Linked DNA regions of Canis lupus familiaris. The protein of the gene in region 1 purifies or fractionates together with the protein of each later gene. This does not show direct contact. Links are inferred from orthologs where the notes say so. Each region holds a gene or a part of one and is shown in the gene's direction. Other genes may lie near its edges. The genes, in order: GSK3A, AXIN2, CTNNB1, NBR1, FRAT1, GSKIP and PRUNE1.

Region 1 (4,858 bases):
CACACACACACACACACACACACACGCTCCCTCGCACGAACTTCATTTCCCAGGGTCCTTTGAAATTAGTCTTTCCGGTTATTAATCGATAAATAGGGCGACCTAGTCCGTGCACAAAACCCGAGGCTACTCTTAGCCGGCTTCCTTGTTTTGGGCCCTCCTGGATCCTGTAAACTTAGAAGGCGGGAGTACGCAAAAGGCTGAAAGGAGATGCAAAACGGAAATTTTTTCACCTGCTTTAATGCTCGTCTCAGCCTCTTGGTGAACCCGCGTCGGTAGAAAAAGCTAGAAGACTATTGTTCTGAGAGACCACCGGGAACTTTGTTCCCCAAATTGTTTGAGGGAGGGTTTTTCCTTCCTGATTTGTGGAAACTTGGAATTTGGAATGTTTGGGCTCCATTTTACCGCAGCCCCTGACCAACTTCAGCTTTTTCTTGGGGTCTGAGGAGGGTAAGGAGGCGTTGAACACTGCAATCTTCCCAGGGGATTGACGTCTTCCACATTTGGCTCACGCTTTCCCAAATGTACCGATTGGACTACACTTCCCAGCGAGCCTCTGCAGTCTCGTCTCAAAGGGTTAGGATCCGGTCTGGACTATTACCCAGCATTCTTCGGGCTCCTGGTAGATCCCTCCCCCTCAGTCAAATGAGTCTGCCTTGAACTCCATTTCCCAGAAGACACAAAGGCTCACTGTGGCAACTACTCCGAAGCGTTGGTGTCGACTACATTTCCCGGCAGGAACTGCGACCCACCATAAGAGGGCAGAGGAACGCCGTACCTACCTATTCTATTTCCTAGCCTATCTCCGTAATAGCAGTGTCCACTTGGGGCTTGGGGAGCACATGGGACTCCATTTCCCGGCGTACTTTGGCAGTCGCGGTACACCTGCAATGCGGTGAGGGCGTGGCGACGACTCCATTTCCCGGCTTGCTTCACGGCCTGATATCTGCGGATGCACCGGCGCCGACTCAATTTCCCACAGTGCACCTGGCGCTGACCGGCATACACAACCAATAGACTAAATGAGCGTCTGGACTCCGTTTCCCGGCGTGCATCAGGACTACAAAGCTCTCCGAAAAGAGTGGCTTCAACTGCATTTCTGAAGCACATCTAGCGCTCGCAGTTGCTGCAGTGGAGCGAGTGTGTGACTCTGACTCCACTTCTCAAAGTACTTGAGGGTCCGCCGTCTACACAGTCGGCCGACTTATTGCCTAGGACTCTATTTCCTGACGAGCAGCGCGACCCGTCATCCCCCGCGGTCAGCTCTGAAGCCTTTGCAGACTCCATTTCCCGGCGTGCCCCGCGGTTCTCTGTGCCGACCGAGGGCGGCGACGGCGGCGCGTAGGGCAGGCGGACTGCATCTCCCGGCGTGCCCCGCGGCGGGCGCTGGGCCGGAGCCGGAGCCCGAGCGGCGCGGCCTGGAAGAGGCCAGAGCCCGGGGGAGGCGGCGGCAGCGGCGGCGGCGGGGGCAGCCCGGGCAGCCCGAGCCCCGCGGCCTGGGCCTGCGCTCGGCGCCATGAGCGGCGGCGCGCCTTCAGGGGGCGGCCCTGGGGGCTCGGGCCGGGCGCGGACCAGCTCGTTCGCGGAGCCAGGCGGCGGAGGCGGCGGCGGCGGCGGCGGCCCCGGGGGCTCGGCCTCCGGCCCGGGCGGCAGCGGCGGTGGGAAGGCGTCAGTCGGAGCCATGGGTGGGGGCGTGGGGGCCTCGAGCTCCGGGGGCGGCCCCACCGGCAGCGGCGGAGGAGGCAGCGGCGGCCCGGGTGCGGGCACTAGCTTCCCGCCGCCGGGAGTGAAGCTGGGCCGTGAGTATTAGCAGCGTCCGTGGGGGGTGGAGATCTGGGTTCCTGAAGCCCTTCAGACGTCGATCAGGTTCTTCAGTATGCCCAGATAGGAGCTCCAGCTCAGTGTGCTTCCCAAAGATGGGATCTGAGGTCTCCCCCTCCCAGAGAAAGGGATTTGAGGGGTCACCATCAATTGGAGTTTAGGATTAGATTTAGTAATTCTCCACAAAACAGGGGTCACAGGTTCCTGTTCTTCCGATGCCTAGGGCTTGGATCCTTAAGCCTCAAAAACAGGAATCTGATGTTGCCATCCATTAGACAACAGGATCAGGAGTCATCACTTGCAAATGGGGCTAGAGAGTTATTGTTCCCAAAAAGAATGAGATTACCATCACCTCAGAAGAGGGGGGTCTGAATTTGCTCCCCTCTAGAGGATGGGGATTTGGAGTGAATATCACATGGAAATGGTTTAGGGGTCACTCTGGCCGGGAAGGATTGGGCCAGGGCTTCCCAAACCTGGTACCCAGGCAGTCTTTCCTTTTAAAACGCAAGATCAGTTACCATCACCCCATCTGTAACAGGTAAAACTGTATCCCCGGTGGTAGAAATTAATGATTGTTGCTTCTTAGAAATAAGGACAAACTAGGAATCATTGTATTCTGCAGACCAAGTCTGTAGTCAGTGTTCTTTTGAAAGCTTGGCTTGGGGCGCCTGGCTGGTTCAGTCGGTAGAGCATGCAACTCTGGATCTCAGGGTTGTGAGTTCGAGCTCTACATTGAGGGTAGAATTTGCTTAATAAAAAAAAAATAAAAAAAAACAACAAACCCAAAACACCAAGGAAAATGAAAAACTTATAGTGGTGGGTCTTCTTCCACAAAAATGAAACAGGGTCAGGGGAGGGTCATAGTTCCCCATAGGATATGGATCTGAGGTTAAACCCATGTTCTGAGGTGTGGTGTCACTGGCTGTGGAAGAACAGCTGTGTAGGATCATCTCTTTCCAAAAGGTGTCACTGCCCCCTCAAAATGGGTTTGATTCATCAGTGACTCCTTTTCTTTGGGGTCTGATGGTTCCCCAAAGTAAAGGGGCCACTTTTCTCTAAGAACGCCACAAAAGTTTGCTGCTGTTTGGAGAATGGAGCTAGGGGTTACAGCTTTCCTTTGGAGGACCGAGGCTTGGCTAGCCCCTGGTTAACGGAGGTCAGATTCGCCATTCTCAGAACTTAGTACTTGCCCACTGGGGACCCCTCCAAATACATGAAAGGGTCTAGGGCTCTGGGTCACACAGATGAGGAGGTCATGTCAGCACTTTTTCTAACCCCAAAGTATTTGGGACGGGCTAGCTCTCCCCAAAAAGTGAGAGTCCTGGCACTGGCACTTAAGTCTGAAGGAGTCCTTTCTGCCACCGAAAACCAGTGGCAGTTACCAGCTCTACCAATGAGGACTTAGAGGTCACTGTTCCCCAAGCTGTGACAAAAACTAGTGCTTGCTGAAAGTCAAAGTACCTTAGGGTTGCTGCTGTATTAAATGGAAGAGATTGGGTCAGGCTTTCCCCAGGCAGGAGGGGGCCCCAGCAGGCAGTAAGCTCTGAGTCGATGGAGTCAACATCTGCAAGTGTGAGGCTGCCCTCGAACCAAGAGGGACCAGTGATTTGCTGCTTATCAGGCATAGAAATTACAGCTTATCAACGCTTGAACAGCAAGAGGTTTAGATGTCAGTGTCCTCCCACAGAAGAAGAGGCAGGATTTAGCATTCCCTGGAGGGAAAAGGAGAAAGTACACCTGGAGGCATCTGACACCCATCTTTGCTCCAAGATGAGGGGATGAGGAGGCCCCTAGTAAGCACCTTGTAGTGATTCCCCTCCTTCCCACAGCCCTATGATTGGGTGGTGGCAAGGGGGATGGTCAGTGGATTGTGTGTCCCCTTTGTTCCCCAGGTGACAGCGGGAAGGTGACCACAGTGGTAGCCACTCTAGGCCAAGGCCCGGAGCGCTCCCAGGAGGTGGCTTACACAGACATCAAAGTGATTGGCAATGGCTCATTTGGGGTCGTGTACCAGGCACGGCTGGCTGAGACCAGGGAACTGGTGGCCATCAAGAAGGTTCTCCAGGACAAAAGGTTCAAGGTAGCAAGTGGGGACAAGGAGGTGTAACCAGGTGTGATAGGCGAGAGGGCTGGAATTGGCTTTCCACAGGGGACCTGAACATGGGCCAGAGTAGGGAAAGAGAAGGGAGTGAATTGTGTGGAAGATAGGCATGCGGGTTCCCAGAGAGCCCAGGATGGTGTTTACTGGCTTTTGGATTGGCGTGAAGTGCTTTGTAACAAGGGCAAGTTCTTATCTAACTCCCGTAAAGATCGTTTGAGGGTAGGTATCGGTGTCTTAAGACTGAGACTCGTAGAAGAGAGTTGACTTGAGGGCAAGACTAGACTCTGGCTTGCCTGATTCCGAAGCCTTCCACTTCACGCACAAAGCTACCCTTCTGCACAGAGCGGGCAGGAAGCTGGTGGAGGTGATGAGCGTGTTTGTGAAGGTCATGCCCTGACCCAGGTGCTTGGCCAAGTGCAGGGTGAAATGCAGCCTGCCCCACACTCACCAAACCACATGCCGTGGTGGGGAGATCTGTCCCCCATTCCTCCTTCACACAGCTGTGCCCTGTAACCTAGTGGAGGCCCAGGGAACAAGGAGGACATGGGGGAGGTGGAAGTTGAGGGCTGATCGGTGTTGCGAGGACTGGCATTTTAGAGCTTAGGCTAGTCTGGATATGAATGAACTGACCCTAGGCTGGGAGGGAACCAGGTCTCGGCCTGGACCTTGGCAGGGAGAACCCCTCCTTGCCCTCGCAGGAGGAGCTCCAGGGTGTGGGTCAGAATTTGATTAGTGTTGAGTACCAGAGGTGAGAGGGATCTGAGGGCAGGAGTTCTCAGGGGGACAGAGAATAGGGAAGAGATTAAGACTGTGTCTTGGAGGAGAGGCTGAGGCTGGATCCCCTTTGGGAAGGTGGAAGTCTGGAACCTGGGCCTTAGGATCCAGGCCCAGGGTTCCAGGGCCCAGATGCCTCTAGCAGAAGCAGTAGAGAGGAGT
Region 2 (4,197 bases), on another chromosome or scaffold:
AAGCCCAAGCCCCCTAGGTAAACACCACCACCGCCGCGGCCAGGGTCACGGGCAGTCTCCACGGAGGTATTGTGGGGTTGGCTATTTTTGCAGTCGGCCGAAAGCAAATGTGACTGTTTGCTCCTGCCGTCTTAATATTAAACGGTGGACTGAGCAGACCACAAAAATGCCATGTTTTGGCAACGCCCCCTGTCCGTGTGATGGTAGGGTCATTTTTTTTCTCTTCTCTTTGAAGGCAGGATAGAGAAGTTTCTACTGAGGTCACATTTTCCAGTTTTTCTAACCCAGTTTCTTTCCTTCTGCTTTCTCTCTTGCTCCATGTTCAGTGCCCAAAGCACAAAGAAGGCTTACCCCTTGGAGTCGGCCCGTGCGTCCCCAGCCGAGCGAGCTGGCCGGCACCACCTGCTGGGGGGTAGCAACGGGCACCCCCGTGCCGCCCCCCGAGCCCACCCGTTCACCCAGGACCCCGCCATGCCTCCCCTGACCCCGCCCAACACGCTGGCACAGCTGGAGGAGGCCTGCCGCCGGCTGGCCGAGGTGTCCAAGCCCCCAAAGCAGCGGTGAGTAGCAGCAGCACAGCACAGACGGGAAGGCAGAGGTTGGGTCTGGAGGGGGAGCCCTGGCCTGTAGCACAAGGGAAGGGGCCCTCTTGGCCTGCATCTCAGTTGCTCCTCAGGGAGGAGGGATGGCTTCTGGCCACATACCGGTCTCCTTCCCACCTGCTAGAAATTGTTCCTTTAACTTCTGTTTGCTCTGAAGAGCTGTCCAGGATCTGTCCGTTAGGCAGGTCAGGCCCAGAAAGAGGATGAATTGTGGTAGTTCCTTACAAATCCCATCCCTGACAAATGCCCCCATCACCATCACGCAGGGCTGGCACATAAGAAGCCACGGCTGATGGAGAATCTAGAGCCTCAGCCCTTTGTCTGGGCTGGTGTCATCCTGCCCCATTCTGGGCTCCCCGGGGGCTCAGGATGGCGTTCCCCGGGGATGGAAGTCGGGCCTACAGCTCGGGCCTGCAGAGGACAGCTTTCCCGTCTGCTCCCCGCTTGCCCGGGGACAGCAGGCTCATTCTCGGTCCTCTGCTCCGACTCTGTCCTCAGGTGCTGTGCAGCCAGTCAGCAGAGGGACAGGAACCACTCGGCCACTGGTCAGACAGGAGCCACGCCCTTCTCCAACCCAGGCCTGGCTTCAGAAGAGTGAGTGTCTTCACCTGACGTGGCTGAGGGCCCCCGAGGGGGCGTGTGTTTCAGGGTCTTGACTCCCTGGCATTGAGATTTTGGAGAACTTTTTCTAGCATATAAAATCACCTTGGTTTTAACAGTAGCAACACGGGCTGGTGAATGCAGATGTGGCCATAAATTAGGACCTTGAAAACCCTGCCTGTACGGGGCAACGTGTTGTGACTCGTACACAGGCGTTGTTCCCTGAAGTGACGGGTGGCTCGGGGTGCCTGGGCACACACTGAGCAGAAGCGGAGACGTGAAGCCATTAGCACATGGATTAGAGGGGTCCCCAGGCCCGGATGCAAAAGTTGCCCTCACTCAGCTTGCACGCTACTGGGTCGGAAATGTCTCGTCGCAGGGAGCCAGAAGATGATTCTCCACCATCGCAGACATAGAGAACAGTTATTGTTTTGCTTGGGGGTAATGGAGTGTCTTCACCAGTTGTGCCATGATTCTTCCCATAAGTTTACATTCCTGCCGACCAAGTAGCCTGGCTTCGTTTAATTATGGGAGGGTGCGTTCAGAAAGAAATGGGCCATGGGAGTCTAACATGGTCTAAATAATTGAAGTTTTCTTCCTTAGCTTGTTCATCTTGGGCAATGAGCCATGTTTGCAGCCCGTGAATGAGCCACCACCCTTTTCGTTGGTTGACCTTAGGTGTACCAGCTGTCCAGGCCTGCAGCTTTTTTTTTTTTTTTTGTAAAGCCACTCTGCAAACTTGAAGAATAAACGAGGGAGGTCAGAATGATAGGGCCGACCCTCCCAGTGGGCTCTGGCATCCATGCCGTCTCGGGAGCCGGTCTGGGTTTGCCTCTGCAGCATTCCCCAGTTGGGCTGAGTGAACCCACGTTCTCTGTGACAGCTTCCCTCCTCGTCTTCACTGGCAGGCACCCTGGTTGTGCTATCCTGAAAGAGACTATTCCGCACCCATCTTCCGGCCCCCCATTTGGTGGTCGTGAGGGGGACAGTAGCAGCCGTGTACAGCCCAAAGGACATTGTCCCTTCCTGGGTGCCCGGGGCTGTGTGCCACCGAGGCGGTGGCCCCTGTGATGGGGGGCCCTGCACCCAGGCCCCTTTGAGCATCTAGCTGCAGCCCTTTCCCTGCGGAGAACGTGTTCGAGAGCCCGTGCTTGTGCGTGTGTGCGTCGTGTGTGCACTTGCTGCCTGCAAATGCTAAAACTTGTTGCATTCCATCTTATTTCTCAGTCACAAAGAGCCAAAGAAGCTGGCGGGGGTCCACGCGCTCCAGGCCAGCGAGTTGGTCGTCACATACTTTTTCTGTGGAGAAGAAATTCCATACAGGAGGATGCTGAAGGCTCAGAGCTTGACCCTGGGCCACTTTAAAGAGCAGCTCAGCAAAAAGGGAAATTATAGGTAAGAGCCCTGCGGCTTCTCGCTGCTCCAGAGTTTGTTTGCTCAGAAGCAAGAGCCAGAGTCGCGTCGCTGGCCTGGCGGACCCGGGAGGGGCTCAGGAGGCGCTCGGGGCAGCCGTGGGGCTGCCTGGCGCTTGTGCTCCTTCTCATTTCCTCTCTCCCCTCACCACTGACAGAAATAACACAGCAGCAGCAGCAGGGAGGCCCTGGGAGGGCTCTGTGGGGACCTGGATGGGCTTTTTCTACCAGGTGAATGAGACTCTGAGGGCACAGAGCTCGGCCAGGAGAGCTGGGCTGGGGCCATCTTGCAGAGGCCCTTCCCAAAAGGGAGAGGGCCGTATGTGTGTCGGGGAGGGACAGACAGACGATGAGGAAGCTCGGGTGTAGGAGAGATCGTCCACACAGCCAGCGTGGGGAAGGGCAGAGGCCACTGCCTGGAAGCAGAGACCGCCTCTCCTCCCTCGCCCGCAGCCCTCCTGCCCACAGAACTGCCTCGCCGTGGTGAACGGCTCACGTGAAGCCGGAGAGCTCTTCTATCCGTAGCAGAGGAGGATGGGCACTCACCTCCCTCCAGCCCCCCTTCCCCTTCTGGGGGCCTTCGAGGGCCCCAGAGAGGACTCAAGAGCAGGGCCCATTCCTGGGTTCCCTTCTCCTTAATGGGGGGTGGGTGATGACCCCACCTCCGTTCATCTAGAGTCGTCACTGCCCCTTCTCCGTGGCCATCGTCCCAAGGGAATACGTGGGCAGGCCAGGGGCATCAAGGTGCTGGGCACACACTTCAGGGAGGGGTCCAGTATGTGCTCAGAAGGTGCCAGCCCATCCCACCGGGAGCCGGAGGTGGGCGTGGAGAAGCTGCTTGGCACTCAGCCCCCGGCCAGGAGGGCACCAGCTTCCGGAGCCCCTGGTCCTGGCAGCTGCTTGGGGGCAGGGGCCCAGAGGGATTCCTTTTGCTGGGAAACGATGGGGTTCGGGGCTGAGGATCCTGTAAGGGACTGAGGAGAGCTGGGTGTGGAGCTGGGCTCTAGATCTTTCCATCTGACACCAGGGCAGAGACAATTCAGGAAAATGTATCCAAGGGATTGGGGAGCAGGCCTGGCTGCTGCTTCTTCCTCTTCTTCCTCTTTTTCTTTTTTTTTTTATCTTGAACAGACACAAGGTGAAACTAATTACACAAGTGTGCCCCTCCAGGGATTCATTTTGATCTCAGCTCTGACTCGGCTGGACTTTGAGTGGAACTGCAGGTGACCTTCAGGGGAGCAGGGCCATGGAGCGCCGAGCAGAGGCTACCGGGGAGGCTTCGCGCTCAGCCACTCCGGCCACATCTGGCTCTGATTTTTTTTTTTTTTTTCCTAAGGCGCACTTAATAAGCCTGGCTTTGAAGCCCCGGCCTCCCTTTTAACGCACAAAGACTTGCACAAATGGTTGACTCTCAAATTCTTTACTGATTGGATCAGGCTGTGGCCAGACCCTTCCCGGCCGCCTTATCTCCCTGGCCTGGCTCTCCGGCCGGAGCTGGACCCCTTGCCCTCCTGGCTCGTGGAGGCACCGGGTGCCCTGCCTGGCCCTCCCAGCAGGGGTGGTGCTCCCGTCCTGCAGCGCCC
Region 3 (4,639 bases), on another chromosome or scaffold:
GAGCCCAAGATAGAACATATTTTTTTTAAGTCGCCTTTCCGGGAAATATACCTGGGAGCTGGAGTGGAGCTCTCAGTTTCCAGAGAGGTGGAAAAATAAAAGCTAAAATGCAGCTTCAGTGAGTAGAGAACATGGGTATTTCTTAAAGTGTGGTCTGTAGAAATCTTCATTAAAAATTTAGGTTTCTATGCCCCACTCTAGTCCTGTTGAATCAAAACGTTAAACACGTAATCCCACTTGGTATCTTAAAAGATTCTTATTGACAGGAATCACCTTTATTATTTTCTGACCTTCATTTTGTCATGTAAAAAAAGATCATCAGTTGTGTTTCTACTGTGGACACTAAACAATTGTATCCATAACTCTTGTTATCTTTACATATCAAGTGACCTTTGTGGCTATAAAAATCTAGTACTGCAAGAGCAATTTTAGGAATAATTAACACATGCTTCCTTTACATAGAGCACATAGGACTTCAGAGTGTAGTTTCCAACTTCTTTAAACATTTAAACTCCTTTTTACATGGATAGAGTACTCACTTCATGCTTAAATATTTTAGTCCATATCTTTACATATTGGTAAACCAATATGTTAAGTTGTAGTGTAAGATGAACTTGTTTACGGGAATACTTTGTGATAAAGGAAATGTTATTATTAGGAATATCTGGTGGTTGTGAGCCTTTACAAGACCCACAGTTCTAATTTGCAAGTAGTTTCCCATGTGATTCAGTGTTTTCCTATTACACAGTGAGGCCAAAATGTAAACATAGATGCTAGGATTTACATATATATAAATTATGTATTTATATATATAGTACTTTTGTAATATATATATATTTTTTGTAATGATCAAAACAGCATTCTGGTCGGTAATAGTTGTATTTATAATACATCCATACTATAAATTTGAACTAGACAGATTTTACTAAAAGGGTGATTATTGTGTTGCAGATTTACATTTGAAAAGTAATTTTAGTTAGTAACAGATCTCAAACCCAGTGTTCTGATCCAGTCAGCAAAACCTACTTTGTATTTTAGATGTCTTTGTATTCTATCAGGAAAGAAAAACCATTAGTGAAAATCTAGTTTTTTTTTAAAGTCCATGTCCAGTCTCACCAGAAAGATCTCTGAATTTTTCAGTGAAAGAAGTTAAAAAGAGAGGGGAGAGGTATTTTGGGAATTCGAGGAGTTATTTCCTACCTTGGCTTTCACTATAAATTTTCTTCCTCCTCAACAATAATTAAGCTTTCTGACATCCTGAATAACTGTAATTTGTATTTCTACCTAAAAAGAGGTGTTTACTAAAAGAGGTTCAGCAGTGGTGGAGCTGTGGGGAGTGTATTAAGGAGACCATGGAGTCTGGCTTTCACTCTCACATGGTAAAGGGGGATTTGGGGGCTTTTTGTGGATATAATCCATGATGTTTAGCAGGTCATCCTAGTGACTTAAAAGTACTAAAAACTAATTTTAAATCCTAATGACTTGATTAACTCTTTTAGGGTACCTGAAGCACACCATACAACGGTTTTGAAAATCCTGTGTGGGGAATGGCTACCCAAGGTTTGTATCAAAAGTCTTTAGTTACTGAATCGGGGCTCTGCTTCATTGCCATTAACCCAGTCTGGCTCAGATCCCCCTGCTTTACTCTCTCCCTGCTTACTTGTCAGGCTACCTTTTGCTCCATTTTCTGCTCACTCCTCCTAATGGCTTGGTGAAATAGCAAACAAGCCACCAGCAGGAATCTAGTCTGGATGACTGCTTCTGGAGCCTGGATGCAGTACCATTCTTCCACTAATTCAGTGAGTAACTGTTAGGTGGTCCCTTAAGAGTATAGATATTTCATCACTGAGCTAATCCTGGCTATCGTTGTTTATTCTTGGCTGACTTTCAGATTTGACTATTTCTAACAATATTTCAATGGGTCATCACAGATATTTTAATGAATATAACATCTCCATGGTGGTAATGCTAATATTGTTTGATTTTTATAGCTGATTTGATGGAGCTGGACATGGCCATGGAGCCAGACAGAAAAGCAGCTGTTAGTCACTGGCAGCAACAGTCTTACCTGGATTCTGGAATCCATTCTGGTGCCACTACCACAGCTCCTTCTCTCAGTGGTAAAGGCAATCCCGAGGAAGAAGATGTGGATACCACCCAAGTCCTGTATGAGTGGGAACAGGGCTTTTCTCAATCCTTCACTCAAGAACAAGTAGCTGGTAAGTATTTTATTGCCTTAATAAAAGTTAGAAGGCAATTTTAAGAATGATTCTTTAAAAAGTTAGTATGTAATAGCTTAAATAAAATGGTGTGGTAAAGAAAACATGGAGTGATTGTAATGTTACCTTTACCACTTAGGGTAGCACAAATTCAGGTGAATGCTGAATTATGGACAGTGAGTGTTGAATTTATTTTTTCCAGATATTGATGGTCAGTATGCAATGACTCGAGCTCAGAGGGTGCGGGCTGCTATGTTCCCTGAGACATTAGATGAAGGCATGCAGATCCCATCTACACAGTTCGATGCTGCTCATCCTACTAATGTCCAGCGTTTGGCTGAACCATCACAGATGCTGAAACATGCAGTTGTAAATTTGATTAACTATCAAGATGATGCAGAACTTGCCACACGTGCAATCCCTGAACTGACAAAACTGCTAAATGATGAGGACCAGGTAAGTAAGGACATGGCTAGCTTTTAATCTGCTTTAAAGGAAACTCTCAAGGAGCCTCAGAATGTTTATCCGGTATCAGTATTTGAAAATCATAATTCTGTCTCTTAATTCCTATACATTATAGGTGGTGGTTAATAAGGCTGCAGTTATGGTCCATCAGCTTTCTAAAAAGGAAGCTTCCAGACACGCCATCATGCGTTCTCCTCAGATGGTGTCTGCTATTGTACGCACCATGCAGAATACAAATGATGTGGAAACAGCTCGCTGTACTGCTGGGACCTTGCACAATCTTTCTCATCATCGTGAGGGCTTGCTGGCCATCTTTAAGTCTGGGGGCATTCCTGCCCTGGTGAAGATGCTTGGGTAAGAAAACATGGTTAGGATGCTTGAAGCTAAGGAGGAGAAGGGTGCCATCACAGCCTTTCTGATGAGGCTTTTTTTTTCTTCCCAGTTCACCAGTGGATTCTGTATTATTTTATGCCATTACAACTCTCCACAACCTTTTATTACATCAAGAAGGAGCTAAAATGGCAGTGCGTTTAGCTGGTGGACTGCAGAAAATGGTTGCCTTGCTCAACAAAACAAATGTTAAATTCTTGGCTATTACAACAGACTGCCTTCAGATTTTAGCTTACGGGAATCAAGAAAGCAAGGTAAAAGAATTTTTCTGAGTATGGCTCATGGAGCATTGGGGAATCCAGTGTCATGTCCTTCTGTGGACTCTTGCACATTCTTTGTATGCCTCACCCTTTGTGTGTATCCTAGAAAAAAAGCTGGACATCTCTTTTTCTTTAAATATTTGTTTATATAAGGCTAGGTGATAAGGATATAGTGGGCATACTTAGAGCTTTCATACTTAGGTGGAAGATAGGCACTAATTAGAGATAATAACCTAATTACTATTTAATTCATGTATCTGGAAGAAGTAGAGGGGCTGTGATAGCATATACGTGAACCACACCCTGCTTGGAAGGTTTAGAGAGACCAGTGGAAGGAAGTGATAGTGGAGTTCAGTTCACAAGGATGAGGAAAGACTGACTAGGTGAAGGTGAGAGAGAGGAATTGACACCTTTGAAAGTCCTACTGAGAGAGGAGAGGGATGAATTTACAGAGTAAAGAAGAGGAAAGGTTTGAGATGAGAGTATTGAGATTAGCAGGGAAGGTCCTTCAGGGCCTTGTAGAATATGTTTTTAAAAAGTAATGGAAAGCAGTTCAGTATCAGCAGAGGCATGAAGTGAGGAGATTTGTTTTTAGAAAATCAGGATAGTTTGGAAGTAGGGGTCTGCAGGAAAGTAAAGGGCAAGAATGAGTAATTATTTTATGATACTTCATTTTAAGTAGGTGAATAATGATTAGGAAAAGCCAAGAGCCAAATCATTAGGAGTTCTAAGCACCTGTTCTGGCTCAAATTTTCAAGAAATCTGCTTTGATATACCATTGATATATGGACAGTACTGTTGCATACCAACATGGTTTCTGTTTCTTTTGTTCTGATCAGTGTGAGAGGAAGAATATTGGGGAAAAGTTGAGATATTCTTGGGAGTACTGGGATGCCTGAATTTGAGTGGAATGGTGTAAGAGGGGCTAAACGTGGTCCCAGTATGGGAATCTGGGGTAATGGGGTTCAGGGATATATTTAGGTCAATGGCAAGCTGGCTGAAATTCTTGTATGATAAAAATGGGTTGGTAATGTGGCTTTTCTTGGGCATATGGTGAATGTTCCAAGTAGTGTGGCTTTTCTTGGGCATATGGTGAATATTCCAAGACTAACAATATTATATACACATCTTTTTAGCTGATCATTCTGGCTAGTGGTGGACCTCAAGCTTTAGTAAATATAATGAGGACCTACACTTACGAGAAACTCCTGTGGACCACAAGCAGAGTATTGAAGGTGCTGTCTGTCTGCTCTAGTAATAAACCAGCTATTGTAGAAGCAGGTAAGTATTCTGAGTGTCATGTGT
Region 4 (4,197 bases), on another chromosome or scaffold:
CGCATCAAGCTTCCTGTATGGAGCCTGCTTCTCCCTCTGCTTGTGTCTCTGCCTCTGTGTGTGTGTGTGTGTGTGTGTGTGTGTCTCAATGAATAAATAAAAAAATTTTAAAAATAAAAAAATAAACTAAGTTTCCCAAGGTTAAATTCTGCCAAAGTCAGGGCGGCTGGGTGACTCAGTAGTTGCACATCTGCCTTCAGCTCAGGGCATGATCCTGGGATCCTGGGATTGTGTCCTGTATTGAGCTCCCCATAGGGAGCCTGCTTCTCCCTCTGCCTATGTATTGCCTGTCTCTGTCTCTCTGACTTACGAATAAATAAGTAAAATCTTTAATTAATTAATTCTGCTGTAGTCAATTTCCTTTACAACAGAATTTTTTTTTTTAAGATTTTATTTATTTATTCATGAGAATACACAAAGATGAGAGAGAGAGAGGCAGAGACACAGGCAGAGGGAGAAGCAGGCTCCATGCAGGGAGTCCAACGTGGGACTTGATCCCAGGTCTCCAGGATCGTGCCCCAGGCCAAAGGCAGCGCTAAACCGCTGAGCCACCTGGGCTGCCCTATAACAGAAATATCTAGATATAAGATAGGTAGAGCCCATACTGTGTATTTCAAGAACTATCTGAAAATTCAAATTCTAGTTCATCAAAATAATGTGGGAAAGTTTATGTTTATTATAATGAAATTTTATCTATACCTTTAAATACTATATTTGTCTCACTTTTGTTGAAAATACACACACTCCTTTCCCCCACACATACATTCATTTCTCATACACACACACACGCTTATGTACATATGCATAACAAAAAATGTTCACGGTAGTTATCTCTGAAAGGATTATAGATATCTCTTTATTCCCTCATCCTCACTTTGCCAATTTTCTGCCATGACTATCCGTTACTTTGCAAAGAAAAGGAGGAAAGTAAGCGTATAGCCCTGTGGTACTAACCACTTAATGTTTTCTCTTGTTATAGCTCTATTAGCTAATGTATCAGTTTTGATTTGTTTTTAAGATTCATGGTGCTTCTCAGAGGCCTTGGTGTTTCTCTGTACCTTGTGAGCTTGGTTCTTTCTGGCTTTGCTTAGGCTTCAGACTTTTAATGTGGCCACAAGTGGTTCTAGCAGCAGCCCTTCCCTCTGGCCATCCCTCTACTCTGGCTTTCATGATTGTAGCTTATAGCTGAAAATTGATTGCTCTCATCCTCTAGTGAAATCTGCTTCCCCTGAAGAGGGACCACTTGGAGATGAACAGGAGGATGTTGTCCATTACACCAAAGAAGTTGTCGTGGAGGAGGAGGAGGAAGAGGAGGATGAGCTCAAAGATGAAGTTCAGAGTCAGTCCTCTACTTCTTCAGAGGATTACATCATCATCCTGCCCGAGTGCTTTGACACTAGTCGTCCCCTGGGCGACTCCATGTACAGCTCTGCACTCTCACAGCCAGGCCTAGAGCGAGGGGCTGAAGGTGAACCTGGGATTGAGGCTGGGGAGAGGCTTGCTGAAGGGGAGAACCAGTTGCAGGGGCAGAGCATCAATGACATCCTCATGACCTCACAGACTCTGGACACAGTACCTCTGACCCCAGAGGTGGTGGGGCCTCCACCACAACTGTCCAGGTACCATCCACACCCCACTCAGCTGGGCTCTTCTTTACAGGTGGAATAGAGAGGAAACAACTTGATGTCAGAACCTGTTTTGTTTGTCAGAATGGGAAGGGATTATTTCCCATAGGAAAGTCTGAATTTAGATGAATAAAAGTTGTATTTCCCAGAATTTGTGGATCCTGAATTTAAAGCTGTGCTTATTCTTAATTATCTTTGTATAGTCTGTCTACTTCTGTTTTGATTGTTGAGAGCCAGTGTTTGGTTTGGTTTGTTTTAGGGTTTTTGTTTTTTTTGTTTTTTTTTTTCTTTTGCTGTTGAAACCCTGGATCTAAGAGAGCCAGTTTTGAAATACATCCCTGGACCTTCCTTCCCCACTCTATTGACGCATGGATAAAGACAGCAAAAATATATTTTCTTGTTAACCCAAAGTATAATAGGATGTTTAATCTATTATAAAAAATACATATATTCTAAAATGAGAGTACAATTATTTTTCATTATCAATTTGTGTGTGTCATTGCTCTGTTGTGGCATGGCAGATGGTGGAGCCTTAACTAGGATTTAAACCACTCTCGGGGAGCTAAACATTTCCCTTTATTAGTACCACTTGATGTAGGCGTGGAGCCACCCAACTGAAGCTGGTCTCTCTCCAGGTTGACTATGACTGAAAAGGAAAACCAGTAGAGTGAGCCCTTTCTACCTGATCCCTACCTCAGACATGAGATCTGGATCAGAAAAGTGAAGCCTTTATAGAGAATCTGGTACTGCTGTGCCACGTGCACTGTTTCTCCAGTGTTCCCATAGGTGCCTTTTCAACTGACTTTCAATATTGTGTCTTTCTGAAAGGAGCTCTCCTTGTGCACAGCCTGATGGTTCCCCGGGAGTGGATTTACCTGTTATCATACCAGAAGTTTCTTCAGTCCCTGATCAGATCAGAGGAGGTAATGACCAGCCTGCACTTGATGTCTTTTTCTGTGCTCCTGTCTGATGACACCAGGCATAAATAGGCATTGTGTCTTTGTGATTCTTGGCATTATTCAGAAACCTGCCCTTGCTTTTTTCTGTGGCCCTCCCTCCTTTTCTGTTCTCCAGCTTAATATTTATTAAATGAGACCTCACAGAGGTGGGCATTGTGCTACAGTGGAAAGAACACAGACTGTGGTGCTAGACTAGTCTAGGTTTCAGGCCCAGCTCCACCTTTCCACACTGTGTGACCTTGAAGCAGTTCAGCACAGTCATAAAACCTACAGGGGTGTTTTCTTATCTCCAAATTAAGGAGAATAGCACCTTGAAGTTGTTAGTAAACCTTCAAAGTCACTTCCCACTCTTAATCACAAAAACAAAACCCCAAAAGTATTTTGAAACTAATAAATGGGTTGATAAGATTTTAGACCAAGTTTTTCTGGCTCAATAAATAGTCACCTTGCATCGCATTCTGGAGAGTTCTTTCTTATCACTTAAAGCCACTTGCAAAATCCGACCCCCAAAAAAAGACTAAGTGCTGTGATCAGATTGCTGCTTGCCTCTCAAAACTAGCTTCACTCTGAGTTAGAAACAGTAGGCACTTGTGGATGCTGCTTCTAACCAATAGCTCTTTTGCTTTTAGAGCCCAGAGGCTCATCAGGACTTGTAAACAGCAGACAGAAGAGCTATGACCACTCAAGGTAACTGGACCTTGTGCAGCCTCTTCAGAAGCAGGTGGATATCCTAATACTGCTTCTGCTTAAATAAGCTTCTCAAAGCATGTGCCACCTCCAGAGGGCAAAGGAGAGCCATCATTCCTTCTTGTTCTTATTTCTTCTGATGCTTGTGAGCAACACTGAACAGAGGGCTACAGTTACATTTAAGAGTGTTCACATTCCAGGATACCTGGCTGACTCAGTCTGTAGAGCATGTAACTCTTGATCTTGGGTTATGAGTTTGAGCCCCACATTGGGTGTAGAGATTACTTAAAAAAATAAAATCTTTGGGGAAAGAAAAAGTTTCCATATTCCAGACCAGTGTTCTCAAATTCAGCTCACCTTAGTACCAAAAGAGAAGGCAGGAAGGTCAAGCCCACTGTGCATCTTAGTAACAGTTTCTTAGACACACCTGCCTCACTGCTCCCAGTCATCTCAGATCACTGGTAAGATGGACTCCTCCCTCACTACAGTGCCCAGAAAATCACATTTCCTTTGGGGGTATATCCTCTAAGATGGTTAACTGAGCAGACTGCTAAATACCCCCTCTGTGCCCTTGACCACATAGTTTTCAGCTGGGACAGAAAGCTGGTATACTCACCAGAGGGGGTGTGTTTTCTGTATGCCCTTATTTTGCAGCAGTAGAGCTGAGCTCCACATCTAACCAAGGTTCGTAGCTGTAAAACTACTAGAAAAACGGTCACATTCTCCCGGGGTCACACCCCAGGGAAATCCATTTTCTTTCAAGGATTAGAGCCCAGATTATCTTGTAGGAAGATAATGGTTTGTGGTTTTTAGGGAAATAATGTGGTTTTCCTCCCCAGGCACCACCACCATGGGAGCAGCATTGCTGGAGGACTGGTGAAGGGGGCTTTATCTGTTGCTGCTTCTGCGTATAAGGCCTTGTTTGC
Region 5 (4,058 bases), on another chromosome or scaffold:
GTTTAGTGCCGCCTTCGGCCCAAGGTGTGATCCTGGAGACCCTGAATCGAGTCCCACGTCAGGCTCCCTGCATGGAAGCCTGCCTCTCCCTCTGCCTGGGTCTCTGCCTCTCTCTCCATGTGTCTCTCATGAATAAATAAATAAAATCTTAAAAAAATATATTCAAAAATAAATAAATAAATAAATAAATAAATAAATAAATAAATAAATAAATAAAGTAGCTCCCTACAGCCTGGTTTCTGTATTTGTGTGTATACGCATCCCATCATGGCTAGTTTTAAAAACAGCTTTATGGACATATAATTTTATATATGAAATTCATTCATTTTAAGAGAACATTCAATAATTTTCAGTAAATTTACTAAGTTATTCAATCATCACCATAATCCGGTTTTGAATATTTTTCTTAGCCTGCTAATATATCTCCCCTGGTTGGCTCTTAAAGACTGGGCCACCAAAAGTCCATCTACAAGTGTAGAGTTTGAAAGTGAGGTCTGATTGGAGATTTTTAAAGAAGGTTTTATTTATTCATTCATGAGACACACAGAGACATAGGCAGAGGGAGAAGCAAGCAGGCTCCCTGAAGGGAGCAAGATGTGGGACTCCATCTGGGAACTCCGGGATCACACCCTGAGCTGAAGGGAGACGCTCAACCACCGAGCCACTCAGGCGTCACTGATTTGGGATTTCTGAATAAGTCTAATACCTCCAGGCAACAAGACAGTAAGGGATCATTTTTCCATCCCTCTTCCTTTAAAAAAAAAAAAAAAAAAAGTCTTGGTTAATCATTAAGCCAACCATGATATCTTGAAGAGTTAAACGGATCCATATCTCCATTACCATCCAAACAACTCGTTTTCCTCTCCTGCTTCCCCTTCAGAGAAGACACTCCCCAGCTGCTGAGGCATTCTTAAAAGAACTTTCTAGCTCAGCTCACACCCCGCCCAAGACCAACGACCTCCTCCTCTCCAGGAAGGCCAGCCCTAGTCCAGGCCCGCATATACCCATGCTCCGGGTCAAGAAGCATTCATCGGGCCTTTCCCTGCCAATTCTAACGCTGCCACCGCTTCCCCACGCCCCGACCCCATCCAACTACGAGGTCCCGGTCTTCCTTTCCGTCCCTGTCAGCCTTGTTTCCCTAATCTCCGGACCGATCCCTAGCCTCAGATCTCCGCCCGCGCCTCGCTCGCCGGGGCAGCCCTTCCCAGACGCTGGCACCCGGACCTCCAAAGTGCAAATGCCAAAACCAGACGAGTTGACGCGCCTAGAGGAGGAGAGTGTGTGGGTGTAAGTGTCTGTGCTGGTGTGTGGAAGAAACCAACCGCGTCCACGCGGGTGTTCATTTTCGGGAAATGCCAACCACGCCCGGCTGACAGAGCGACGATCCGCACCCCCGCGCCCCCCTGCACGCAGCACTCGGGGTGGGGCAGCTCGGAAGCTGCTGGGCTTCACCCTGCGCCCCGGCCGGGAGGGCGCCCCGCCCCCAGCCGTACCCCGCCCCCCCGGCCCGGCGCGGTGGTAGGGCCCGGCCGCGACGTCACCCATTGTTTACAAATCAACCCGAGCCGGTAGGATTCCGGCTCCCGCTGCTGCAGGCGCGCGGCGCGAGTGCCTGGCGGGCTCCGGCTTCCGCGTCCGCCCCGGCCCGGCCCGGCCCGGCCCCGGCCCCGGCCTCGCCCCCGCGTCGGCCCCCGCCCCGCGCCCCGCGCCCCGCGCCCCGCGGCCCTCCGAGCCCCGCCGGCCGCCGAGCCGCCAGCGCCGGCCGCACAGCGCCGGGTGCCCGGGCGGGGGGCCATGCCGTGCCGGAGGGAGGAGGAAGAGGAAGCCGGCGAGGAAGCGGAGGGGGAGGCGGAGGAGGAGGAGGAGGACAGCTTCCTCCTGCTGGAGCAGTCGGTGACGCTGGGCGGCTCGGGCGAGGTGGACCTGCTGGTGGCCCAGATCGGCGAGACGCTGCAGCTGGACGCGGCGCAGGACAGCCCGGCCTCCCCGTGCGCGCCCCCGGGGCCGCCGCCGCAGCCCCCGCGGCCCCCGGCGGCCGTGCGGGCGGACAAGGCCCGGCCCCCCGCGCTGCCGCTGCTTCTGCCGCCCGCGCCGGCCGAGGCGGTGGGCCCGGCGCCCCCGGGGGCCCTGCGCTGCGCCCTCGGGGACCGCGGCCGCGTGCGGGGTCGGGCTGCGCCCTACTTCGTGGCCGAGCTCGCCGCGGGCCCCAGCGCGTTGTCGCCGCTGGCCCCTCAGCCCGGCCTTGACGGGCCCTCGGGAGCGGACAAGCGGGCCGCCCCGCAGCCGCTGTCGGGCCCGTGCCGGCGGGGGTGGCTGCGGGGCGCCGCCGCCTCCCGCCGCCTCCAGCAGCGACGCGGGCCCCAGCCCGAATCCCGCACCGGCGACGACGACCCGCACCGGCTCCTGCAGCAGCTGGTGCTCTCGGGGAACCTCATCAAGGAGGCGGTGCGGAGGCTTCATTCGCGACGGCTGCAGATACACGCAAAGCTTCCCCAGCGCCCGCTCTCCGGGCCGCTGTCGGCCCCGGTGCATGAGCCCCCGTCTCCCCGCAGCCCTCGGGCGGCCTGCAGCTTCTCCGGCGCGTCCGGGAGGAGGGCGCAGCCCCGAACTGGCGACGGCGTTCCTGTCCCTGGCAGCTAACGCCCCGGGAGTGGCCACAGCGCCAGCCTCTGCCTGGAGGGCAGGGGAGCCCCCAGAGGGCTACATCCCTACTCGGACGGACTGGTGAACTCGCGTTTTGGAAGCGGGAAAATAAGCTAATGCAGACGAGGAATGGAAAAACCGCGAATGTTTTCGCGGGGAACTAATGGAGGGCCCCCGATGCGTTTGAGAAACAGAAGAACTTGGGTGCCCTGTTTGAGGCAGATTACCGAGCGCACCCCAAGCTCACATCCAGTGGTACTCCCCGTTCGGCGTGGCCAGCCCCCGCGGTGCAGCGAGCAGATCCACGCAGCCGAGCCAGTGGGACCCTCCAGCCCAGCGGCCATGTGGCCACGTTCCACGCGTCTCTGGATCGCGCGCGCCCAAAGGACGAGGGTGACCCCAGTTACTGGCTTTACCTTTTCAGGGCTGGTTCCTGATCCACTTTGGGGGAGGGGAACATGAGTCAGACCATCATTTCAGGGAGAACCTCAAACTGCCAGACTTGAAAAATTTACGACTCTTTAAAAAACCCATCTTGTGTCTTGTGGGTGCTGGTTCTTAACGCAAAACACGCGGTGCCATCAAAGGACCTTTTTTGGGAGTTGAATGGGAGTAAGGTTCGCGCTGCCCCCGCTGTGCGACGGGGGGCGGGGGCGGCTGCGCGCCGGCGAGGGGAGGCGGGGGCGGCGGTGCCGCGGCGCGGGGAGGTGGGAGTCGGCGAAGTCTTCCTCTCTGGGAGATTTTCCCTGCGTCCCCCTCCTCGGGTTCAAGGTCAGGGTTCCCCCAGCGCCCGCGGGGGTGCGGGGCTCCCGTAGAGCGGAAGAGTTGCCGGGTTCCGCCTGTGCCCGGGAGAAGCGCCCGGTGCTGTGCAAGTGCTGGAGTCTCCTAAGGACGCGCGCCCCGCGGCCGCCGCCGCTGCGGGCCGAGGGGGACGTGCCGGGCCGGTGCCCACCGCGGCCCGCCGCGCCCCGGGCTTTCAGAAAGTGCCCCGAGCCTCAGCCTGGGTCGGGCCGCCCCCGCCCCCGCCCCCACCTCCCCGCCTCGGCTCGGCTCGGCTCGGCGGTCCCACTCCAAGCGGGTGGCGCTGGCGCTCCTTGGGGCCCGGGCTGGGGGCTGGGGAGACGCCACGTGACGGGCCCTCCGGGGACACAGCCTCGCACAGCAGCTTATAATGGACTCTCCGGGGCCATTTGCAATAACAGCTGCAATTCCCTGGATACACGGAGTTGGTTTCCTCCCTCCGCCCCTCCCCCAGCCATGCCCGCTCGCCTTTGTAAGTGAAGGAAACCGAGTAGAAAATGTGACCCTCCAAACGGAGAAGCTGCAGGCTTTGCCATTGTGAGCCGTGGTGAAGTGCGTTTAGCATACTTTTCACTTACTCTTGAGGGATCTAAATCCGTTTTGTTGGTGTTTAA
Region 6 (3,265 bases), on another chromosome or scaffold:
AATACACTTAGTCAGGGTGCCTGGATGGCTCAGTGGGTTGAGCATCTGCCTTTGGCTCAGGTCATAAGCCCCACATCAGGCTTCCTGCTCAGATAGGGGCATGCCTCTCCCTCTGCCACTCCCTCTGCTTGTGATATCTCTCTCTTTCTCTCTATCAAATAAATAAATAAATCTTAAAAAAAAAGAAATATGCATATTCTATTGATTGAGAAATTGAGTCATTGAAGAATGGCCCCAGTAAACACATTTTTGTTTTCTGTACCAAGTTAAATCTAGTTATTTGATCCACTGTTGCATTTCTCTTGTAGGTGGTAGGTTATGCTTTTGACCAAGTGGATGATCACTTACACACTCCCTATCATGAAACTGTCTACTCGTTGCTGGATACACTCAGCCCTGCCTACCGGGAAGCATTTGGAAACGCACTCCTTCAAAGACTGGAAGCTTTGAAGAGGGATGGATAGTCGTGACCAAGCTGTTTCCTTCTAGAGGGGGCTGCTGCTGGTACAAAATGTTGACATAAAGCTTGAAATACTTGCATATGGTCATAGTAGAAAACGCATTTTTGGTTTTATGTCCATTCCTTGCTTCAAATTTAGGCTTCTGCCTCAGAACATTACTGACTAATGAATTGTCTTTCTTAGTTTCGGATTCCTTAAGGGAATCCTGAGGCCATTGCTGTGATACTGTCGTTAAGACATTCAGATTTCTTCATATAGTAGCTCTGCATTTCAAAACCTAATCAGTATTTCATTCTGTTATTACAGGATTTTGATGCTACCAGCACTCTCTTTTACATAGGAAATTCTAGATTTGCACAGTAATATAACAGGAATTAAAATGACCTACATGGATTCAGCTTGCTAAATCAGGGGTTTACTACTAGCTTGGACTGACTTTGTAGTAATTATTTTGCTACTAGCCTTATTGGAAACAAATTATCAACTAGTTTCCCCTGCACAAATTTTGAAATTCACTGCTTCACTTAATCTATTTATATTACTAATAGGGACTGATAAAGATGAATTAATTATATATATTACTTAGCTAGTATTAAATGGAAAACAGGTACTGAAATAATAGTTCTGTATTCCTTGTTTGCAACAGCCAGCCAACTAAGAGGACAAACCGTTAGCAAATGAATGTAATAATTGTTTCCAAGATATTTAAGCACATAAGCAAATATAGGAACAGGCACCATTTTTCTTAACAAAAATCATCTTCAGTGTGTGTGTGATTCAAAAGGAAGAAGATTCTGAATTCCCAGAAAACAATATTTTGGCCTGTGTTGATTCTTATTATGAATGTTTGTTTACATGATGTACAGTATATATTCAGAAAGTATTTTTGCTTCAATGTTTCCTTTCTATACTGTAGTGCTTTGGTATTCCCTAGCACCCCTCCCTCCCCAACAGATGCACAGTATTCTTTCTCAAAGCTAAATCTACAATGTAATATGCCTGCATTGTATGGGTTTGAAACCAAAGGATGAATGAAGCATTCAGAGACTTGATATTTGAAAAAGGGAGACTCTCTTTTTATATTTTATTACAGGTACTAATATTTATAAAAATGAATCGTACCATGCTGCTACATGTTTTCAAGTACATATTGAATACTAAGGATTGGGGAGTCGATTTTTTAGTAGTACTACTAAAGCAGCAGCTGTAGAAATGTTGAAGTAAAATTCTGCATTGGGACACACCTTCATAATTTGTCATTTGCAGACTTTTTTTTTTTTAATCATTATTTAGTAATAGACACTTTTGGGCTCCGAAGATCATGTAGAACCACATTGAAGTTCGGTTTGGGTCAGTATTCATTGTCAGAGTCCATCAGGATGATTTATTTGTGTTTGGTAAATGCATGTCCATTTGCAGCTTTATTTTCAGATGCTAACTGTTTGGGCAGTGATATCTAACTGCAGGTCAGATTTTCTCACGCTTAATCTCAGGCTAAATAAATGTAAAGGATATTTGTAAAGTTCGAATAAAATTCTGTTTACTCATTTCGAGTTAAGTATGAAGAAAAGTGATTGTACATTCAAAAATTGACTTTGTTCATTTTGTGATAAATGACTGGTTCCAGGAGCTTCCATGTCCATTTTTGAATTCTGTATGGTTACATTTTGCTGTGAAGTGATTTGCTCTTTTTATCATTATGAAAGAGGAACAGAGTGAAAAGACATTAATAAAACTATACAGATACTGAAACTTCCATTTCATCTAGCTTGTTTAAAGAATTTAATCAGATAAATTAATCATTGATGTCACTTCCAAAAGGGGAAAAAAAGAAAAAGCCTCTAAATAAGTAACTCTTACAAGTCAATAAGAAAACAAGAACAGTGGGCATGTAATATAATCAAACAACTTGAAAAAAAATGTATGGATGTCCAGTAACCACTTGAAAGATATTCAACCTGACCAGTAATTCAAGAAAGGAAAAGAGTTTAGCTCTGTATTTAACCTAACAACTTAATAATCTTCGTTATTTAAATATAATGATATCAATAAGGATTTAGTGAGGGGCATTCAATGAAACCTTTCCAGAAAATATTGGGTAATAGAGCCTTTACAAAGCTTGTAACTTCTGTACTGGTAATATCCTAGCAATCTAGCATGGAGAAAAGATTCAGCAGAAGATACACTACAAGAATATTCATTTTCTTTAATGGAGAGTTGGAAAGGCTCTAAAAAGCACATCATGTGCTCTTGATGGAAAAATATGCAGCCATTAAAAAATCATGAAAAAATGGCAATAGGAAAATACACTGCATGATTTAGAAAAGGATATAAAACTATGATCTATTCCTGGAAAATCTACAATGTTAGTAGTAGCTCTCACTAGGTGATGAGATAGGTCATTTTCATCCCCTTCATACTCTCAATTTCTGCGTTAGCCTGTATGCACTAATTGGAAGGGGAAATACAACAGATCCAGGGTTTCAACCAGCTAAAGAACGTTTCTCTAGCAAAAGCACCAAGCTGGGTTGAGTGTTCACTCCCAGGATCCTTGAAGAGACAAAGAATGCCCACCTCCTTTCCCACGACGACACCCTCCCCACCTTTACTCCAGGTCACCAACAGCAAATCAGCCACCAATGGTGTCCTGATGGTTGGCTTCCTCCCCTCGCTCACTGCAGTTCTGTACAGGGTTCAGAAACAGAATGTACTGTTTGGCTGTCGAGGGGAGCAGGATAGAAATACAGTTTCTGACGTGTGCGCATCGACTTCAGAACTCTACCTTCAACCCATTTATCTTGTGG
Region 7 (4,632 bases), on another chromosome or scaffold:
AGCGCTTGTGCCTCTCTGGTGAGAAGAGGGAAGAGCAAGTGCCCTTGCGGAGCGTGGGGAGGAGCAGGGCTGGACAGCAGCAGCTGGTTGGATTTGAGCTTTCTCCGTGGATATGGCAGGCCTTTGGTCTGGACCCACAGAAGCAGTGCCAAAGAGCACGATATTTGCATATTTATTCATTTAAAGTAAAAAGAAATTCTGCTATTTTCTAAGCCTTTATGTATCTTTTTTTTTTTTTTTTTTTCCCCTTAGAAATGGACCTGGTTGGGCTGTGCCCCTGGAGGTCCTCTACACGACTCCCCAGACTCTGGGAAGACAAGGAGAGAACTAGCCGAGCAAGCAGGAGATCTAATACCCCTGGGCTCTGGTCCTCTGTCCCAACACAGGCCTCACCTCCTTTCAACTTCTGGGGTGGGCGTGGGGAGGGGAGAGCAGGAAAAGCTGGCAGTAAGAAATCCAGGGAGGGTCGGTAAGGGAGGGGCATTTGATGATCAGTTCACGTATTGGCAGCACCCTACACCACCATGGGGCTGGAAGGTGGCAGTTAGGGGAGGCTGGAACCCAGCTCCACATTCTGAAGGGCCCTCCTCCCTTGACTTACAAGGCTACTGCAGGATGAAACTTCAAGCAGCTCTGAAGGCTGAAAGGGCAGTTTGAGCAATTAGGGAGGCAGGGAGCAAAAACCCCAGGTTACAACCGTCCATGAGGAGGCATTTGCCAAGGCTGTAGACAGACGGGCTACTGGGCGGTAAAGTAGCAGCAGGAGTCGGCAAGAGGCCGTAGGTATTAGGTGAAGAAGAGGGGTCGAAGGTGATTCTAATGTTTTTATAACACGGACAGCAGAAAATTGGCGGCAGTGGGTCCGTTTGGTAAAGGGGAGAATTCGAGAAAGGCAGGCTAAGCTGTTTTTGCCTTGTGTAATTTAAGATGCCAGCCAGATGCTCGATGTAATCTATGGAAAGATGCTATACTTAGCCCGACTCGAGAGATGCCACCAACGCAGGTTACTGTGACACATATACATTTCTCTGTCAAATGAGTAATCTCGGAAAATTATTCTCTCCTCGATTCTTACAGCCATTTCGGAGCTGCCGGACTACGTTTCCCAGGACGCCCTCCGCCACGCCCCACTGCGCGCCTCCCGGGTCCCGTGAGTCTCCGGGCGCAGAGCTCCGCCCCCGCCGTCGGGGGCGGGGCGACGTCCGATTCCAGGAGCCCCGGATTACGCACTTCCTCCGGGGGCTGGGGAAATGAGTCGCGGTGTGGCGGGTTCGAGTCCCGCCTCCTGACTTTCGCCCCGAGCCCCTGAGTCCCGAGCGGGGCGCGTCCGCCGGGTAACCTCTCCACGGCCAGGGGCGGTGGCACACCTGGGACTTCACCATGGAGGACTACCTGCAGGGTTGTCGAGCCGCTCTGCAGGTAACGAATCCCGGGCTGTGGCTGTAAGGAATGGAGCATGAGGTCCAGGAGGAGCGAAGATGTGGGATCCGGGGAGCCCGGATGGTGTGTGGGGAGCGGGCTTGGGACCACATCGGGTTGGGGCCAGAGGACCGAGGAAGGAGAACCTAGCCTTGGGGAGTGCTGCTCAGTCTCCCGGCTTTTGGCCCCCGTCTTTGGGGTCTCCCCAAGGGCTGGGAGGAGGACCTGCATCCCAGCCTCTGCTCGCTGTTGCCCGGCTCCGTTCCGTGGAGCGGTGAAGGGCTGTGCCGTCGCCAGTCGTGCCCCCCTTCCTCTTTCCGCCCACTCGCGGGGGCCTCCGCGGCCGGCAGGCCTCCAGGTGAGTCCCGGGGTACTAGGGAGCCTGTGCCCACGGATTAAGCCTCAGAAGAGCTGTTTCTGTCTGGCGGGCCGAGCTCATTCTAGATGAGAGAATCGTGGTTTGACTTTAAATCTGTTTTTAAGCTAAACGTGCTCAGTGCCTCAGGCAGATCTGTTGTTGACCAAAAACTTGCATTCCTTTGCCTCCAGTTTTCTTCTGTGGCCTTAACTCACATAAATTACATAAGAAACCCCCCCGCCTGGGAGGGCTAAACAAAGTGTGTTTGGAATCAAAGCTATAAGCTTGACTCCTGAATGCTTTGTGGCTTATTTTTGGTACTCTGAGCTGGTTGGAATCTCCCAGCTGAGTTGACCACCCGTCAGGCCGCATCAGGCTGCTGTTCCCAGTTAGCAGCTAAGAGCTGACCAGAGAGAGGCTCCAGGAGGTCACCTGGCTCCCCTACTTCAAGTTACACTGCCCATATGGAGACCTAGACAGATGGCTGACAGGTGCTTTCTTTGAAGTGTCTTAAACTCTGCACATTCCCCTGGCGGATAGATTCTGGTCTTTGACAAAATCCTAGAAATTACCTGTTTCCTACTGCCCACTCCGCTGCTGGCGTAAATGACTGTCCTCACCTGAAGTATAGGGACAAAAGACAAGTTTAATACTAATTGCACTAGATTTTTCCTTTTGGGAAAGTTGATTTAATGCATAGGGCGATTTGGAAGCAATTCATTTGGTTACATCTGATTTCCACCACATGGAGCTCATTGGAGGACTAAGGTAGAATCTTTATGGCACTCCAAGTGCTAAGCAGGTGAAATGTTTGCCTCCACAGTAACGCAAACTACAGGCCTCCTTTCCACCATTTGGATGGAAACCTCACCAAATAGCCTTTTATTGCATGCATCTATCCTTCAACATCTATGCTTTAGAGTTCCCCCGGGTTAACTATCTTCTACAGCAATATGGAGCTGAAGAATACTGGGTTTTTCCAGTATTGCTGGAATCCTGACCTTTTTTTGCCTGCTTCATCCCCAAGGAGCAAGATCTAGGTCTTTGTTTTTCCGAACTTGTGAAGGTGAGGTTGTATCTTAGAGTTATTATTACACAACTTGGCCAGGGCTGGAAGAAATGAAAAAATCGGACTCACAGAATGTTAGTGGAGGAACTGGTGGCAGGACACACAGGTGGTCGCCAATAATTTAAATAGGTTTTATTATTATTATTATTATTTTAAAGATGTATTTCAGAGACAGAGAGAGACAGAGACATAGGCAGAGAGAGAAGCAGGCTCCATGCAAGGAGCCCGATGTGGGACTCATCCGGGATCCCAGGATCACGCCTCGAGCCAAAGGCAGACAGACGCTTTACCGCTGAGCCACCCAGGTGTCCCTAGATAGCTTTTAATTATAGAATAGTAAATGCATACAGTGAAAAAATTTAAATACAAGAGAGATGTGAAATGAAAAAGAACAAGATCTTTTTTTCTACTCCCCATCCAGTTCCCCAGAGGCCTCACTGTTGTTTTTTGGTAAAGAAAGACATGATTTAGCCAGAGATTCTATTTAAAGTTTGGGTGTTTCCGTTAGGTTAACTCTTTGGGAAATGTGAATGCTTGACTTTTACATGGGAGAAAGACAGCTTATAACCCACCAACTGTCCTGTTGATAGCATATTTTTTCTCTGGCATCTGATACCAGAGAAATTTTTTACAGCCTCTGCCATAACGATAGTAGGATGTTCCATTTAAAAGAAATCCTGTTTAACTAAATGTCCTATTCATGGTAACTCATCTTTTAATTCTAGTAGGGAAAAACCTTTGCTTCAGGGTGGAGCTGCAATCTAGTGTAGTATTCATCCAGCGGCCTTCGGATAATCTGTTGTCTGCACTGCTCAACACATAAGGCAGGAATCGGAAGGCAGGAATCAGGAGTGGCTGCTGTCCTTCAGACATTACAGTCCTTTCGTCAGTATCTGTACCATTGTGCTGGGAGAACTCTGTCTCTGGCTCCCTGTCTATTTCTCTCTCTCTCTCTTTTTTTTTTTTTTTTTTCTTAAGATTTTATCCATCCATTCATGAGAGACACAGAGACACACACACACACAGGCAGAGGGAGAAGCAGGCTCTGCTCAGGGAGCCCAGCGTGGGACTCGATCCCAGGTCTCCAGGATAGGGCCCCGGGCCGAAGGAGGCACCAAACTGCTGAGCCACCCGGGCTGCCCCCTCTCTTTTTTTTTTCCCTCCCTTATTAACTATTTTGTAGAGTAGGCCACTAGACTGTATTCAGCTTCAGAAGGAAAGTGGGTGCCTTTTCCAGCCTTAGAGCCCATCCTCACTCCCCGCATTGAGGCCAGAAAGAACATCAGAATACAGTCATTGTGACTTGTGGGTTTGGGTGTTTTATTTGTTAGGAAGAAAAGTTTGTATTTACATGGGGCTTTCAGATTGTATTTCTTGGATTGGCAGCTCAGGTTTCCTCATGTTCTAAGTATAGCTATATCTGCCCTCAGCTCTTCCTCTCATGGTCAGAAAAGTGAGGCTGTTTGGCTTGTGCTGTCAGCTGGTAGAGGATAGGGTAGAGATGGGGTGTTAAGAGTTACATATGTTTTTCCTTTTTTTAAAAAAAATTTATTTATTTATTCATGAGAGACACACAGAGAGAGGCAGAGACACAGGCAGAGGGAGAAGCAGGCTCCCTGCAGGGAGCCCGATGTGGGACTCCATCCCGGGACTCCAGGATCACTCCCTGAGCTGAAGGCAGATGCTTAACCGCTGAGCCACCCAGGTGTCCCAGTATTATCATTTTTAAAACAAAAGATGAATCTTAGGCCCAAATCCCATAACAAAGTAAGAAGCAGAACCTGGA

Evidence for each region.
Region 2: the proteins of GSK3A (region 1) and AXIN2 purify together in Homo sapiens (affinity purification with mass spectrometry; 3 studies listed by BioGRID and IntAct, with this or other methods). This does not show direct contact. The link is inferred for Canis lupus familiaris from reciprocal best matches to the Homo sapiens genes GSK3A and AXIN2.
Region 3: the proteins of GSK3A (region 1) and CTNNB1 purify together in Homo sapiens (affinity purification with mass spectrometry; 3 studies listed by BioGRID and IntAct, with this or other methods). This does not show direct contact. The link is inferred for Canis lupus familiaris from reciprocal best matches to the Homo sapiens genes GSK3A and CTNNB1.
Region 4: the proteins of GSK3A (region 1) and NBR1 purify together in Homo sapiens (affinity purification with western blotting; 3 studies listed by BioGRID and IntAct, with this or other methods). This does not show direct contact. The link is inferred for Canis lupus familiaris from reciprocal best matches to the Homo sapiens genes GSK3A and NBR1.
Region 5: the proteins of GSK3A (region 1) and FRAT1 purify together in Homo sapiens (affinity purification with mass spectrometry; 4 studies listed by BioGRID and IntAct, with this or other methods). This does not show direct contact. The link is inferred for Canis lupus familiaris from reciprocal best matches to the Homo sapiens genes GSK3A and FRAT1.
Region 6: the proteins of GSK3A (region 1) and GSKIP purify together in Homo sapiens (affinity purification with mass spectrometry; 7 studies listed by BioGRID and IntAct, with this or other methods). This does not show direct contact. The link is inferred for Canis lupus familiaris from reciprocal best matches to the Homo sapiens genes GSK3A and GSKIP.
Region 7: the proteins of GSK3A (region 1) and PRUNE1 purify together in Homo sapiens (affinity purification with mass spectrometry; 3 studies listed by BioGRID and IntAct, with this or other methods). This does not show direct contact. The link is inferred for Canis lupus familiaris from reciprocal best matches to the Homo sapiens genes GSK3A and PRUNE1.

The regions. Positions count from the first base shown.
Region 1 is NC_049222.1:112,856,938-112,861,795, forward strand, and holds the start of GSK3A (glycogen synthase kinase-3 alpha), read left to right. Parts: upstream 1-1,516; coding exon 1,517-1,799; intron 1,800-3,713; coding exon 3,714-3,901; intron 3,902-4,858. UniProt on the Homo sapiens protein: Constitutively active protein kinase that acts as a negative regulator in the hormonal control of glucose homeostasis, Wnt signaling and regulation of transcription factors and microtubules, by phosphorylating and inactivating glycogen synthase (GYS1 or GYS2), CTNNB1/beta-catenin, APC and AXIN1.
Region 2 is NC_049230.1:12,339,609-12,343,805, reverse strand, and holds part of AXIN2 (axin-2), read left to right. Parts: coding exon 1-17; intron 18-326; coding exon 327-560; intron 561-1,100; coding exon 1,101-1,196; intron 1,197-2,429; coding exon 2,430-2,597; intron 2,598-3,745; exon of another isoform or gene 3,746-4,197. UniProt on the Homo sapiens protein: Inhibitor of the Wnt signaling pathway. Down-regulates beta-catenin. Probably facilitate the phosphorylation of beta-catenin and APC by GSK3B.
Region 3 is NC_049244.1:10,788,868-10,793,506, forward strand, and holds the start of CTNNB1 (catenin beta-1), read left to right. Parts: upstream 1-1,505; 5' UTR 1,506-1,547; coding exon 1,548-1,560; intron 1,561-1,991; coding exon 1,992-2,219; intron 2,220-2,421; coding exon 2,422-2,675; intron 2,676-2,799; coding exon 2,800-3,038; intron 3,039-3,126; coding exon 3,127-3,328; intron 3,329-4,470; coding exon 4,471-4,615; intron 4,616-4,639. UniProt on the Homo sapiens protein: Key downstream component of the canonical Wnt signaling pathway.
Region 4 is NC_049230.1:19,803,968-19,808,164, reverse strand, and holds part of NBR1 (next to BRCA1 gene 1 protein), read left to right. Parts: intron 1-1,213; coding exon 1,214-1,619; intron 1,620-2,453; coding exon 2,454-2,548; intron 2,549-3,213; coding exon 3,214-3,271; intron 3,272-4,110; coding exon 4,111-4,197. UniProt on the Homo sapiens protein: Ubiquitin-binding autophagy adapter that participates in different processes including host defense or intracellular homeostasis.
Region 5 is NC_049249.1:10,818,164-10,822,221, forward strand, and holds FRAT1 (proto-oncogene FRAT1), read left to right. Parts: upstream 1-1,751; 5' UTR 1,752-1,794; coding exon 1,795-2,640; 3' UTR 2,641-3,176; downstream 3,177-4,058. UniProt on the Homo sapiens protein: Positively regulates the Wnt signaling pathway by stabilizing beta-catenin through the association with GSK-3. May play a role in tumor progression and collaborate with PIM1 and MYC in lymphomagenesis.
Region 6 is NC_049229.1:65,459,315-65,462,579, forward strand, and holds the end of GSKIP (GSK3B-interacting protein), read left to right. Parts: intron 1-308; coding exon 309-464; 3' UTR 465-2,219; downstream 2,220-3,265. UniProt on the Homo sapiens protein: A-kinase anchoring protein for GSK3B and PKA that regulates or facilitates their kinase activity towards their targets.
Region 7 is NC_049238.1:60,761,125-60,765,756, forward strand, and holds the start of PRUNE1 (exopolyphosphatase PRUNE1), read left to right. Parts: upstream 1-1,450; 5' UTR 1,451-1,456; coding exon 1,457-1,777; intron 1,778-4,632. UniProt on the Homo sapiens protein: Phosphodiesterase (PDE) that has higher activity toward cAMP than cGMP, as substrate. Plays a role in cell proliferation, migration and differentiation, and acts as a negative regulator of NME1. Plays a role in the regulation of neurogenesis.